2 linked regions of the Daphnia pulex genome follow. The protein of the gene in region 2 binds, or shares a complex with, the protein of the main gene of each other region. Links are inferred from orthologs where the notes say so. Each region holds a gene or a part of one and is shown on either strand. Other genes may lie near its edges.

Region 1 (7,376 bases), on a different chromosome or scaffold from region 2:
ACGGGACGGGCGGCGCCAGCGGACAGATCAGCTGCGGTGGACAGGCGCACGGCGTCAACTCGGCAAATGGAAATTGCCCAGCTCACCGACGGCCAACCGGCAATCCCGGATGGAACTGGCTACCCTGGCGTCCGTCTGTTTCGGATAGCAGCGACGTCAGCAGCACCGTGCGGACCAGGTATAGTACTTACTTACATTTTCATTAGTCGAGCGGTTTTCTCTGGTTTATTGGCTGGAAATTAACATTTTTCATTTTACGATACCAACAGAAGGACAGCGAATGACCCTGGACCCGTCATGATAGGGCCAGATGATCATTACGGCTTCCCATTGAGCAGCAATGGCAGCAATTACCGCTCGCCGCTGGCTTTGACGAATGCTGCTGGAGGAGGAGTAGCCGGGCCGGAGAGAGTGGCCGGATGGGGTCCTCCGCCGCCGTATTCCAGGGGCAGTACTAGCGAATTGGGCTCCATATCTGCATCGACCCCCATAGGAAGCCTTTCACCGGCTCATCGCAGCCCCGTCTCCACCAAAGACCAGCACATCGGACTGGGCTCTTCGCCAACGGCCAGCAGCAGTGCCGTCGGAGGAGGAGGAAGTAAAGACAGTTCGCTGAGAAAGGATCACAGGGCCGCCCCAGGTTTCCCTGTGAACTTACCGTCACGCCAGCAGCAGCAGCAGCAAAATAAAAGTATGGCCTCTGGTGTCCATCCTTCCCCAGTCAGCCGGATGAATATGGATCCGCGCCGGATGCCGTGGAGTCCGCAGACGGCTGGTATCAATCCGTCCGTCATCTCTAGCGGTCCGCCGCTGTTGACAGCCAGAAATCTTCCAGCGGCTCACCAAACAGGATCGCCATCTGGTATGTGTTGTGCAACTTGTTTTCCGAGCTAATGCACAGCTGTAACTTGTTGGTAGCTATATTTCATTTGTTTTATTTTTCTTTCTTCCCCCCTCCGGCCTGTGTTAAATACCGGTTTCCAGGTAGAAGAGATATGAGCAGCGGTAAATTGGTACCGGAATCTGAACTCTATTTCGCTGATACATCCTCGTATGCCGTCTCGGTGAACCACGACAGCAGCAACTCGTCTGCCATGTATGAGGAAATTCACGGTCACCGATACGACAAAATCCAGCGCCCCGTTGCCAAAGTCACAAGTATCCGTAGCGGCGGCAAGCCCTGCCAGAGATCCAGTTGGGACGGACAGAATCAACGGCCCCCACCCGGTGTCCACTTGGCTGGAGCTGGAGGGCAGCCACGATCGCGACACAGCGCTGACACTGTCAGCAAGGAGAAAATGTTCTCGCCCATCGTCGTGCCCAAGTTCATCAACTGCACCAACACCAACGGCCAGCAGTCGTCGCACTGGGTGCCGCCAGGTCAGCCAGACATGACCGCCGATACCTGTTCATTCGTTCCTTATCGTCGAGCGGCCGTTGTGCCGTCTGGCGGCAGCAGCAACGTCAGCGATGCCCGTTTCGCCGAAGGAGAAGTCTACGAAAACGTCACCAACTTGGATTTCGACGAGAAGAAACCGCGCACCCTCTCGCCCGACGAAGAAGTGGCCATTCTGACCAGCCAGTTTCACGGAACTATCCCCACGGAAATGGAAGTGGAGTCGACTCAGATGGATTCGGAATCGGAAGACAACGATTCCGTTATGAGGGCCGTCAATGTGTAAAATAAAAATCACCATAAGTTACCTAATCTATAATATTATTTCACTATTTACCGTGCTGTGTGTTGTATGGAGCAGTGCCATTGTATATTAATATACTGTAACTGTACTTGCGCGTGTGTGTTTGGCTTTTATTTCTGTTTTCTCTTGTCTCGGCAGATTCACAAATGATACACCTTGAAAAACACAATGGACTTGGGAGAACTTTATTACGCATCATGCCGTGGCATTGGAATGTTTTCTCAGAGGCACGTGTCTGCCAACTGTTTCACTTCGGTGGGAAGATTGGGATACTTGGAGAGAGCAGCTGTTAACTGCTCTGACGTGATGAGAATATGGTAAACAACAAATTCTTTCTGAACCTTCGAGCAAGAAACCCCCTCAACGGGCCGGATCAGCTCCAAAGTCTACAAAAGGAAAATTAAGTAGCATGTTGTTCATTTTCCGCCATCAAATTATTACGTTAAAAAGCTGGGCAAACTTTTTTTGTTATTTACCTCGAGGTGTTCCATTGCCTTCATCGCGATTTGCCGGTCGAATTTCTGCATCGAACTGCTTTTCATTTGCTTGGTATACTCGTAAAAGGCCATTTCGTAATTGCAAGGTTCACCAAAGTAAATTTTATCCAAGTATTTCATGCAGAGTAACTATAAATGAACGAGTTCAAGGAGGAATCAATATAATGTATACAAGTTGGCCAAAATAAAAACGTTTTCATTTTATGATGCTTAGCTAGGCAATATGCGAAATTTCTCTTTTACTATACTCACCAACTGCAGTTCGAGGACAGATAAGCCCTGGAGTTGTAATGTTTTGCAATCCGTAGTTTGAGACTCGATGGCGCTGACAATGTCCTTGGATGAGAGGAAAGGATGATTCTTGCCCAGGCGACATACTGCCACCAGCTTTAAGTGCGTAAAATTCAAGAATAATACGGGTACGTTATTGGCGTTCCTTATTCTGATAACAGTCAAGTGCAGGCTGCTATCTACACGATAATAATAAGTACCAATATGTTTTGCAGAAGACGGAGTTTCGGATTGAGGTTGAATAGTTTCTTGAGTGTGCCTTCGACTAATGGATCTTGTGCAAGATCCTTAATAGACTTGTCCCAGCTGCGAACGTATATGGGTTTTAATCCGGGAGGAGCACGCACCAACTGAAGTAAATTGACAAACGTTTCCGTGTATCTCGTGAAATCAGGTTTCACAAACAAATAAATTTGTCGATGAGAGAACCTAGACCTCACTCTCTTTTCAAACAAAGAAATGGCATCCATTCTACATGTCAATCCAATGACAGCCATTGGCGCCTAAATGCGATAAGATGAGATTATGTTATTGTAAATGTTGAAAAGTGAGGAAAGAGAGAATATGCGAATGAAGCTTTATACTTGAGCAGATTGGCAAACATCAAATAGATTGTATAATAAAGTTTGATTTTTATGCTGACAAAACTGATCAAATTCGTCCATTATAAAAATGATGGATTTTGCTTTTTTCCTGTCAGCCATCTTCAAGGAATTCAGAAGAAAATTTAGATTCTCTAGAAGAAAAAGGGAAATATTCAAATAACCTTTATAAAAGAAGCAAAAATCTAAACTGTTACAATTTACCTGAAAATGAGCCAAATGCTCTGCCAGCTGCTTCCTCCTCTAAAAATAGCTAAAAAGAGATGTCACAATAAATTTAAAAAATTGTCAGGAGGGTCATTACAAACAAAACTGAAAGAAAGTTACTTGGCGAGTGATTTCTTGAATGGCTATCCGATCATCAGTTTGGAAGAAGCCATGCAACTTAATGACAACATAATCTTTCTCAAAGTCACAGACAGCTTCCAGTTCAGCCAGCACACTGTTGATCAACTACAAATTTAACAAATTATTAAGCTGCATCAATCATTTAAAAGGAGTATAGGTGCTTACCAAGGTTTTCCCACTTCCTCTCGGTCCAATTAGGAGAGCTGAATTGTTTTCTCCATTTTGCACCGTGCTTTTAAGTAAATTAAAAACGTAATTCTTGTGTTCTAAAAATTCATCAGGAACTGAAATACTAGAATGATTGTTAAAAACCATTCGTTCTAATAGAATATTACGACAAATATCAGTGCAAGATGCCATTATCGTATCACGTACTGGATTTTGAATCGTGCAGACGATGTTTGACTGAAAAAGGGCGCGCAAACTGACACATAAACATTGTGCTGTCAAAATATGTTTGTTTGTTGTTACAAGGTGGCAGCACAATGTAATCTCTCTAGATTTTCAAATTACTTAACAAATCACAAGAAAACCAAACTCACACAAAAAAACAAACAAGTCAGTTATTCATAGCATTTTCGTGTGACGTGAACTGTATGTATATACGCATATGAAATACTTTGTTAACGCAGTTGGTTTTAAATCTTTTAAACCGTCTTGCCCATCGGTTCCACAGATTATATTCGAAGGCTTGTGTATTGTACGTAAAATCGTATCTGATCGATATCTCATAGTTTAGCTTATTTCTGAAATTGGTGAATCATATGTATAAGTGATTAAGACACCGAATGTATACTTAGGTATCTAATTTGGCCCATATGATAAATGAGTGAACCGCAGCAGGGGGATTAAGGTACAAAATAATTAAGGTCTCCGCTCTCCACGCCCGCGGTGAGTGGTAAATTGACAAAATATTTGGCACAACTTGCACTAAGAAAAAAAAAGTTGAGCCAGCCTGTGGAGTGTTACTTGTTTGACTTAGCTTGTTATCCTGAAGATAAAATTATTTTGAGTTGTTACACAGATTTCCTGGTAGGCAAAAGAACTAGAAAACAAACACTTTGATGATCGAAAACTTCATATTTGGTATGGAATGTGAAAAGGACAATCGAGGTACCGTTCGAACAGTAGGTGATTTCCGATTTGGGTGGAGCCGTTGTCTTTTCTCTGCATAACTAGTTTCAAGGTCCGTGTTATGACCAAATCAAGTTGCATCATTTTTCCATTTAATTTGGATAACCATAAAGTCACAGATGCTCCTGTCACTAAATCCTGGATTGTGTATTCAGCAGTGACTGTATGCCGGTGAAACGTGATCGTATATGGTTCGATCAGTTGATAAATTGGTGACGTAAATGCCGACGGGAAAAACAAAGTAAATTATTTCTTTTTTTTCTGTAGAATGGCTGAGCTGCCACATTCCTTATGGGTGCGTTTCTGTCAGTCTGCTGAAAAATCGCAAATTAATTATTTGCGCGCAAAGTAGAACAAGATTAAAGTCACATTTATTTCTGCCACTTGAAAGATCCCATTTTTGGTTATTGGTGAACCTGAGTCCTGAGATAGAATTTCTTCGTATAAATAGGTTGATACAAAAATATGCTGTTGGTGCAACCGCATTTTTTTTCTTCTTGACATATGTAAGAAAAGAATTCCCAGGTTTTGTAAATGAGATCGCGGATGCAAAAAAATGTTACAACGCAACAAATATTTGCTACCTTGGGGCGATTCAAATTATTGCTCCGCCCTGATCAGGGCGTTGGCCAGTCGTTAAAGTATACTAAAATGAATAACATCAAAGATTTAGCAATTTTTGTGCTAATCGACACAAAATCTCGCACCTTAAAACAAAGTGAAGATAATAGTATTTCATCGTTAAAAAATCAATAAATCTACCAGCAAATAATTTAGAATAGATTTTGAAATATTCCGTGGAACAATTCTTCAGATTTCCTCGATTTTTTTTTTTTTTGTGTGGTTTATTTTTATTTGATGTTATTTCTATTTTTTGCACCACTGTGTTTTCCGGCACATAAATTTTTTGAAGCGATTATTGAACTCCAAAAGTGATTCTGCTTAATCGAAACGAAATCGTGCTGGCATTTCGGACTCCCGAGTCCATGTCTCCCTCCCCCTTTCGACAAACATTTTTGTTGTGTGATTACATTCTTTTCCTGGTTTTTATAGTTGCACAGTGTATATATAGACCCAGAACCAGATTCAGAATTCTTATATTTTTTTCTAGCTGCAGATAGTATTCTATATATTTACTTAAGCATGTAAGCGTCTTGCATTATTCGACTCCCTGGGGATAACCCTGTATAATAACAGTTCAGCGATCCTTTATTTCCTTATTCGTACTTTAAAAAAAAGACCTAATTTGCGACGCATCATTAACGAATAATTTCTACTTGGATTTTTTACTTTCCTTCGGCACATAATTTTTTTGATTACAAGATTTTAATGCTTCGGTCAAAAGTTCAGATATTGTTTGCGATGACTTGGAAGATTCCAATCGATTTCATTTCTAAAGAGGAAGTTCACATTTTTGTAAACACTAAACAGACTCTGGCAAAACGTGAATCGGTCTCCAGCGACTTGAGTAATACTTGAAGTCTTGACTAACGGTGAATAAAAAAAACTCAGACCAACGAGACCAGAAAAAAAAACAAACAATCAATTCGCTGCCATAGGGCTTAGATTTATATTACAAAGAAGTCAGAAAGAAGTTGTCTTTTTTTCTTATAAATTCCAGCAAAAAATCGTCTAGAAGCTTACACGAGCACCTGTGCTGGTTCTAACTTTTTGTTTCTGCTTTTAAATAGTGAGCTGCTGAGGAATACCGAGAAAAAGCTGGAGAACGGAGGCGGGCAGAATCACTTCCAGGCAAGAAAAACCTGAGACCTTAAAAAGACCAGTGTGCATGCATAGCAATCCGGTTTTTTCTTCCACCTTTCTTCGTCAAGACCCCCTCTTTTTTCATTCGTTTGAACTCGAATCAAAAGAAAAAAAGAAGAAGCCTACCTTGTTTTTTGTTTTTTGTCTCTTGCCGAGGCCAAGCAAGAGGATCCAATGGAAATCGATGGGCGGGGTTGAGCAGGATTCGTATTAACCTAGATATATTCTGCCCACAATGCAGGAGCCACGCTACCTCCTATGCGCGTGTCGTTTTGCAGGTTTTCCGCGTCGACCAAATCTCACTCGACAAGTCTTTTCCTCGTGTACACATGCATGCAGAAGCGATACACAGCGCACCTTGCTCAGTCTGGGCGATGTTCTATCCAACGACACAAGTGCACACTGCAGCAGTGCAACTGGCCGTCGTTGATGATGGGCAGTTTGATATAGAATTTTAGTGTTTGTATTACAACAGGTGTTTGCTATGGTCGCCTAGTTCGTTTACAGAGGCCTACCCTCCCAAGTCCGAACTCATTTTTCCCCCCAGCTAGTGTTTATATCCTTGGGCAACGATTGAAAAGATATAATAGCCTTCCACTATAACCACAACACACATCGAGAATCAACCCCATAAGATGGTCGCCACAGCGCTTGTTTTCAAAGTTTGGGTTTTATCGGGACTTGTTTGTCTTTCTCAACTGACCTCCACTTGTGCAAGTGCCCCTTCTTTGACATCCGATCTACAGTCGACCAACTTCAATGGCACGCAAGGTGAGTGTTTATGCAGTGTTTATGATGCAATGTTGAATTGAAAAGCTGTTATCTCACTGGGACATTATAACGTTGTTTGATTGCACAACTCATTTCCCAATAACAAATTCGTATTCCAGGGCACCCAGTGGATGGGGGAAAGGTGACTAAATCTACGTCTGAATCTTCTAAGAATGATTCTGTCACTGTGATGAAGACATGGCGCTCAAGGTTCGACCGTATGACGCAGACGAGTCGCAAACTAAACGCCAAATCGCTAGTTAGCCCGC
Region 2 (7,163 bases):
AGCCCCTTTTTTTTTGTTTCGGTCGTGAATTTTTTCTTCTTTTGTCACAAGTCCCTCGGGGCTTGAAAATTTTTGAACGCGGTTTTCACATTTAGAAATATTTCGGCTCTGCTAAAAAAAAAACAATTTCATTTTCTATTCTTTCGGCATTCCTTTAAAAAAAAAGGGTTTTATTTTTAACTTTTGTTTCGTTTGGTCAAGATATTACAAAGTCCACCATTCTTCCTTTTATGCGGTAGTTGTCGGTACGCGTGCGGATCGTACGAGCGTGACCTTCTCCGAAAAAAGAATTCCCATTAAAAATCCTGAAAAATATTAAAAAACAAAAAAGGCAAAAAAAGAAGAAAAACCCATGCGGGAGGCGGCGTTTGTTCAATTCTACCCCCCACTTTTAAAAAAATAAAAAATTAAGAATAGTACACACGTTGTCGGTAGCATATGCTTGGCCAACATGCCGACACAGACCTCCCCTACCTTATATACACCCTATTCAGTGCACAGTTGTCCCCTAAACTGTCAAACACACACATTAGGGCTTCCAATTTCAAGTCGGATAACCAAACAACAACTTGGAATTTAAAAAAAACCCACACACGAAGAGATAAAGTAAAAAGTTATTTCCAAAGCTGACGATACACGAGATGACGTAAAATGATGGTCACCTCAAAGTCAATCAATGCTACAGTTAAACCGAAAACAAAGTCCAATATAGGTATAAGCAGATTAGCTAGCCATGTCCGACCGGTTATTTCTCTACTTTATACGACAAGAGACACAACAAAGTGACAAGTAAAAGAAACGATAAGATGGCCAAGAATCTAAATGGTATAAATTTAAGAACTTTTTGGGGATTTAAAATATAAAATTGAAAAATAAAAAGGGGGAAAAAAATCTTCTTAAATGGAGAGAGGATCAGCAGCTGGAAAGAATGTTGGAAAAGAGATATGTGTGTCGGTTGGGGGGAGAAGAAGAAGATAAAAGAAGAAGAAGAAGGAAGGAAAGATGAAAGAAGAAGAAAAAGGTGGGGGGCCTTGAATCGACCGAGGCTCGGCTTCATTTCCATAGCGGGAAACTACTTTACCAAGGCCATATAAGGCACACACAAGACTGTTTTTTAAAAAGAGTCAGAGGAATAACACAAGAATCTTCCTCACGCCAAGACACTCCACTTGTTTAAGGGCAAAAGAATTTTAGGGAAAACAATAATTATCATTTTTCTTTTTTAAACCTTTTTTGTTTTTTTCCTTGAGGCCAGAAAATCATTCTCCTGTCTTCGCCTGTTATCTAACGCTCTGCCACTAGTACTTACTTGACTTTACTACTACTTGGGGAATTATTTGTTAAAGCCTCTCCAACTGTATATATCACGCAAAATGGCAGAAATGGGTGTTTCGACATCGTGACGCAATCGTCGGAATAGCGGCGAATGGGAAAGTGACGACAGGATGTCCGGTCGTGTGGGTTTTTTACAAGAAGTCCACACAACGAAACGATTCAAGAAATGTCGATTCGATAAGAGAAAAGTTAACTAAAAAAAAGAGACGTCCATATTTGGCGGCGGAACTACAGAAAAACGTGACTCATACCGATGCACAAGTATCGGTCGCTCAACAATCGAATCAAAGCTGGAAAACGAGTAAAAATTATCGTTGACGACTTTTGCTCTCAATTCAAAAAACGGATACGATAAAAACAAAACAAATATAACACACACGTATGTACTATGTGGGCTATATCAGCAGGTAACGATCACATTTTCCTGTGTCGAATCCCACATAGCTTTTGGAAACGACCGAGAAAAATTCAGACATTCGAAAAGAATTAAACATTCTTTTATCGTTTTCTCTTTCCTCGTAAGAAATAAAAAAAGAAATAAGGTTTTTCTTTCTCTTTTTTCGCCGTGTCAGGAATAGAAATAAGGAAAGTCAATTAACTTAGGCGGGGCTCTGACAGTTGAGACCTGTCATCTGCTACTCAAACCGAAATTTTTCGAGAGCTGGTATAACCTGATTAAGCTAATCAAGCCACACAAATACCCAAAAGATTGTGGTGATTGTGAAAATAAAAATGGAATATAACGGTAATAATATCCACACTCACGCTGGCAAACTGTTCACGAAGTTCTTGTCGTTCTTCTTCGGAAAATTTACGTATATTCGAAGAAGCAGCTCCATTCCACTGGTGTAGCGCCATCTTACTTGGCTTGACGTCTGGCAAGGCACTGTTGCCGTCGTGTGCTCGCCGGTTTATTTAAAAGCCCCAAGCGGGGTCTTTTTTCAAAAAAACGTTTGCGGCTTGGCCCTTCCCACTTTTCATTTCCTTCCCCCCTCTGTGACCCCGCCCTCGACGTAGCTCTTATACATGTGCCTTATCAGCTGCTATATATTTTTTGTTGGGGCGATTAGAAATCAAACAACGCCTTTTACACACACACGACGGTAAATAGTATCCGCTTAGGGGGGGAATCAACTTGATATCGCTTCACCGAATTACAGAGACTCTTATGACCATATGTGGTCTAATATGATAAAGGGTTTTTTTTTGTGAACAGACGTCGGTCAGAAATCGTCTTAGTCATGAACACATTTATATATAATTGAAAAACGTCGCCTTTCTTATCTTTTTCTGGGTTGTAATTTGATTACTTCATCATTCCGACACTCGGTTAAGAGTTTCAAAAAAAAAGAAAAGTTTAAGAAATGAGGTGTGTACTTGTTTGTTATCTCTTACTCGAGGATGTAGGGGGCGGGGACACGGGTTTATAAAGAAAACTTGAAGAAAAAAAAAGAAAAATTTTAATAAATATAATACAAGGCTAATTCTCTTCTTTTGTTATCAAGTGAGGGAAATAATATACTGCCTACAATTTAAAGCAAGATCAAACAGTTGTGTCGTAGAGGTAACGTCCCAGCTCGAAATTCACCGTCCTGTAATCAAAAGAAATTTGTGAGCATTTATTATTGTAATCGTGTCAAGTAGTTTAATCTTTTGGTATCGTAAAACATGGACTAGATTAACGGTTGAACTCGGAGGTAATCTATTTAAATTTAAATGTTTACCTGGCTAAACTTCTGACTAGATCGTAACCGGCATTGCACCGGTATTTCGGAACTCCTTGAAACATGGCCGCTGATCCCGTGTGTGTGATGAGCTTTAGGGAAACCAAAGTAGAAATCTGTGTGTCGAACAACGAAGAGGCGTCACAATCTCGAACGTAAATAATTGGCCAAAAAATAACGCGATTAACAACAACAAGGAAAAAAAAAAGAGCTCAGACCTGCACAAATATATTTAGGGACGGCGTAACTCGTTCCTCAACGATCGAATAGAAAATGGCCATCAATCGATCGATGGGGAAGACTTTGGGTCCCATCAAACGGGCGGCGTTGTGCAACTTTTGCTTCTTCAATGACTTGAGACCTTTGTCTTTCTTCTTCCTGCCTTCTTTGGCTTTGACGAATAAACGACGATCGTAACGGGGCGGATTGTAACTCGCCAGATAGGCAGCGATGATAAGGAACTTGGAGAAGAATGGAAGCTCCATTTTCAGGCCTATTTGGGTCCCGCATGCATCAGGACCTCGGACGTAAACTTGGTTCAGACTGGAGCGAAGTTTCGGTTCAAGATGTCGCCATAATTTCACTGATTGAGTTTTGTCGATTTCGCCCGAATGGATGGGCTCCATAAAGGCTTCCCAATGCTGCGCGGCTATGTAGCGAAGTTCGCAGAAATCGCGACAAGCCACCAGGAAGACACCCAATATCATGGAAAGATATGTCTGGTAAAGAGATGAATGTTCAGGTTGTCGGCATTCCTTCATCAGTAGATCCAGAATTTCTTCTACAAAATTTGAGAAATGGTTGATTAAGATGTTGTGTTTACAATTGAATCAATAAATACCTTTGCTATACTGGGGGAAAAATATCTGTATGGGATCGAGACTTCCAGTGCCACACCGAAACTTCTCAAAGGGGATTTCTGAAATGAAGATGATGCAAATGTTGAGACCTGTAAACTCTGGGATTTTGGTCAGTGTTGGGATGATCATTCCATCACTCAAGTCTCGCATCCTTTCGGCCTTATCAAGTACAATACAAATCGGTCTGGTATCACCAAGCTGCTTGAGGTATCTGGCAAATTCATTGGCATTGTCACATCGTTCTTGACTTCCCAGCTGTTCAAGGACAGATTCATAGAGAAAGCGTGGACTGAGGCATTCAATGCAGTGAATTGCTGCATACTGAACATGTTCCACAGATTCAATCACTCGTTGGACTACTAACGATTTTCCGGTTGACGTGTGGCCATATACATACAGGAAAGGTGGAAGGGCATTCTGCAAATAAATTCAATCACGTTCTCATAAATATTTGACGTAAACATCCCAAGAATCATAACAAGTCTCACGCTTTGAAGGATATCCGCCAAGATTTCAATTTGTTGTTCTCGATGAGGTATTTCAGCTTTTAGATTCTCTTTTATGGAATTTATTTCCATTGTTTTTCTCGTAGCTCTTTCACTCGCCAAAAGAAACTTAAAAATCAAGATAACAGAAGTGGCGAATTCGTAGCGGGAGAAATGAAACGTAGACATTGCCAGATTCATATTCAGAAAAATGAAACCAATTTCTAATTTTTAATGAAATTACTGAAACTTTTCTAGCAAAATTTTGTCTTGCTAAAATTTTTTTAATAAATTTGATAATAATAAACTTAATGTTACGTAAGTAAGCTTTCATCTCAATTTTTGTCCCGTTATTATTACGTGGAACTTGTTGGCTGACAGGAATGTGTGTCGTAGTCTGCTATTCCTGTCACTTTTACAGTTTGTTCAGTTGGGTCAGTTTGCTCAATGGCATGTGCCGCTATGCTACTTGTTGGATAAACTGCAAAAAATTGTAACTTTGACTGTGGATCGATCGTATTAGGAATAATTGTTTTATAAAATAATGAAAATGAAATCATATCTATTTATTGTTACCTTCTGCGTTTTTTTGAACGTCTCATATGTCCATTCCTTGATTGAAGGACTCTACTGTGGAGTCGAGAACTGTTACGATGGTGAGCTATTTCGTTAACCTAATTTTAAAACGTTCAGTAATAACGCTTTCTCTTTTTTTTTAATTTTAGTGCTTGGTGTGACGAGAGAGAGCTCTAGGAGTGCTATAGGAAAGGCTTATCGAGTTCTTGCAAAGAAGTACCATCCTGATGTGCAAGGGCCTGAGGTGACTAAAGAAGAAGCTGAGAAGAATTTTCGTAGAATAGCCACTGCCTATGAAATTCTGAGTGATAATGCCTCCAGAGAAGATTATGACTACATGGTTGACAATCCAGAAGAAATGTACATGCATTACTACAGATATTACAGACGGCGTACAGCTCCAAATGTCGACATCAGATTGATTCTTGCTGTGTGTGTCACCATCATTTCTGGGATCCAGTACTACACTGCCTGGGAACGCTATGATACTGCCATAAAGTATTTGACCACTGTGCAAAAATACAGGATACATGCACTTGAAATTGCCAAGAAAGAAGGCTTGTTCAATGAAAATACCAGCAAGAAAGTCAAAGACAAGTCCAAAGAGAAGGAGGAAAAGGAGCAAATTATTCGAAAAGTCATCGAAGAGAAAATGGATATTCGCGGAGGCTATTCTAAACCAGACTGGAAGCAAATACTGTGGTTCCAGCTCATCATTCTGCCCTACACCATCTACCAGTACGTCCGTTGGTACATTATCTGGGTCTACAAGTTTGACATCCGAAAAGAAGAGTACGGTGAAGAAGAAAAGTTGTATTTGATCAAGAAGAACCTGAAGCTTTCTCAGCTCGAATTCGATGCTCTTGAGGACCATACCCGAGAAGAATATCTCGAACTGGAACTTTGGATTAAGTCGAATGCAGTCGATTGGAAGGCAGAGAAGGAAGAAGATCTGAAACGAGAACTCTCTCAATCTGCTCGCCACAAAGCGTACAGACGTTACATGAAGAAAGGAACGAGCCGACTCACCTTTGACGATTCATAATCAAGATATTTGACAAATTAGGTGGCTTCATCATCCAAGTTCATCCCGTGTTGTGATTTACCAATCTCATATGACAGTGAGTCTTTTCACGCCCTTGTTTGACGAAATACAAAAATATCAAATTGCAGTTATTGTAAATCTCTGCTGAGTAGAAATCCGTATTGGCGTAGAATTTAGCCCTGTATTTCCGTCTTCCCAAAAGTAGTACACGTAGACCTTTTTTTATAAACATATAAAAGACCCAGGAGAAAAAAATGAAAAAAAAAAAATAATTATACAAATAACAAGAAGAATTGTTCTTGGAAATTTCCACTCTCATTTACTTGAGAGTTTCACACGCATCAAATTATCCAGCACAACTAGATGCATCGTACCCGGGAGGAAGTTGATCATCTATCACAAAAAAGTAAAATAAAAGAGGGAAGGTTAACGTATCGATAGAAGCGCGTGAATTGAGCGCACCACGCCTGCTTCAGTTAAAGGTAACACCAATAACTGTACACAGAATTGAAACAAATGACTGCGTTGCGTTTTTTTTTTGTAGTTATGAAGTGTTTCGAAACAAGTGTGTTGTATTAAAGGATATATGGTGCGGACAAGACTTATGAAAGAGGGCGGCGGCTGGCTGCTTGTCGCTGCCTCTGTGACGTTCTCCGGGCCGTCTGTGGAGTTGCTCGAGCGGCCAGTCGTGGACTCCTACGCACTTCGCGATCACCTCCGCCATCAGCCGCGTCGTCATCTCGATATGAGCGGCGCTGCCTCTGCATCCAATTAGGATTGGAATCGTTGGATTCGCTGTCGGTAATGTACTCTTCCGTGTCCAAATCCATTTCGTCCTCGGAATCGGCTGAGGAATGGAACCACTTGAAGTGTCGGCCGTCCCACTATTACCCCGGTTGATTAAACTTTGGGAATTCATAGAGAAAAATTAGAAATAATATTTCATACCGCTGAATCGATAATATCCATGGAGTATGGATGCCAAGAGACGTCCCGAACACATTCAGAATGACCAGTCAGAATCGCTGCAGGCTTTCCAGTCAGGACATCATAAACTAAAATTGCAAATATTTAAAAATTAAATTGGTTTAGATTGATAATACTAGGTTATTGGGGTCTCACTGAAAATTTTTCCAGC

Evidence for each region. Proteins that work in one complex are often made in the same cells at the same time.
Region 1: the proteins of origin recognition complex subunit 5-like (region 2) and origin recognition complex subunit 4-like are in contact, whole or in part, in a crystal structure (PDB 4XGC), measured with the Drosophila melanogaster proteins. The link is inferred for Daphnia pulex from reciprocal best matches to the Drosophila melanogaster genes Orc5 and Orc4. Residues at the interface, in NP_477132.1 of Drosophila melanogaster: Met1, Glu2, Glu20, Glu24, Leu25, Asp28, Ser30, Glu31, Thr32, Tyr33, Pro34, Ser35, Phe40, Gly41, His42, Asn100, Met101, Leu102, Val105, Glu106, Arg109, Arg115, Arg132, Asn137, Val141, Arg144, Gln146, Leu148, Asn150, Leu151; in NP_477320.1 of Drosophila melanogaster: Val9, Arg12, Arg13, Lys16, Glu17, Gln20, Arg21, Tyr23, Arg58, Asp89, Asn91, Leu92, His93, Val98, Ser102, Glu147, Tyr250, Arg253, Asn254, Asp257, Glu260, Tyr261, Ala299, Tyr300, Asn303, Phe306, Arg307, Ala310, His311, Arg313.

Annotation. Positions count from the first base shown.
Region 1 is NC_060020.1:1,000,265-1,007,640, reverse strand, and holds origin recognition complex subunit 4-like, read right to left. Parts: upstream 3,856-7,376; 5' UTR 3,799-3,855; coding exon 3,604-3,798; intron 3,544-3,603; coding exon 3,418-3,543; intron 3,344-3,417; coding exon 3,295-3,343; intron 3,225-3,294; coding exon 3,073-3,224; intron 2,992-3,072; coding exon 2,689-2,991; intron 2,585-2,688; coding exon 2,450-2,584; intron 2,327-2,449; coding exon 2,177-2,326; intron 2,087-2,176; coding exon 1,922-2,086; 3' UTR 1,797-1,921; downstream 1-1,796. Other genes in the region: uncharacterized protein LOC124192631, read left to right, coding at 1-178, 270-862, 985-1,682; uncharacterized protein LOC124192633, read left to right, coding at 6,972-7,107, 7,227-7,376.
Region 2 is NC_060025.1:8,382,974-8,390,136, reverse strand, and holds origin recognition complex subunit 5-like, read right to left. Parts: upstream 4,543-7,163; 5' UTR 4,498-4,542; coding exon 4,408-4,497; intron 4,337-4,407; coding exon 3,901-4,336; intron 3,841-3,900; coding exon 3,278-3,840; intron 3,176-3,277; coding exon 3,060-3,175; intron 2,928-3,059; coding exon 2,879-2,927; 3' UTR 2,865-2,878; exon of another isoform or gene 2,772-2,864; 3' UTR 2,692-2,771; downstream 1-2,691. Other genes in the region: plastin-1-like, read right to left, coding at 2,101-2,193; dnaJ homolog subfamily C member 25 homolog, read left to right, coding at 4,949-5,060, 5,130-6,025; DDB1- and CUL4-associated factor 11-like, read right to left, coding at 6,628-6,909, 6,974-7,080, 7,148-7,163. UniProt on the Drosophila melanogaster protein: Component of the origin recognition complex (ORC) that binds origins of replication. DNA-binding is ATP-dependent, however specific DNA sequences that define origins of replication have not been identified so far.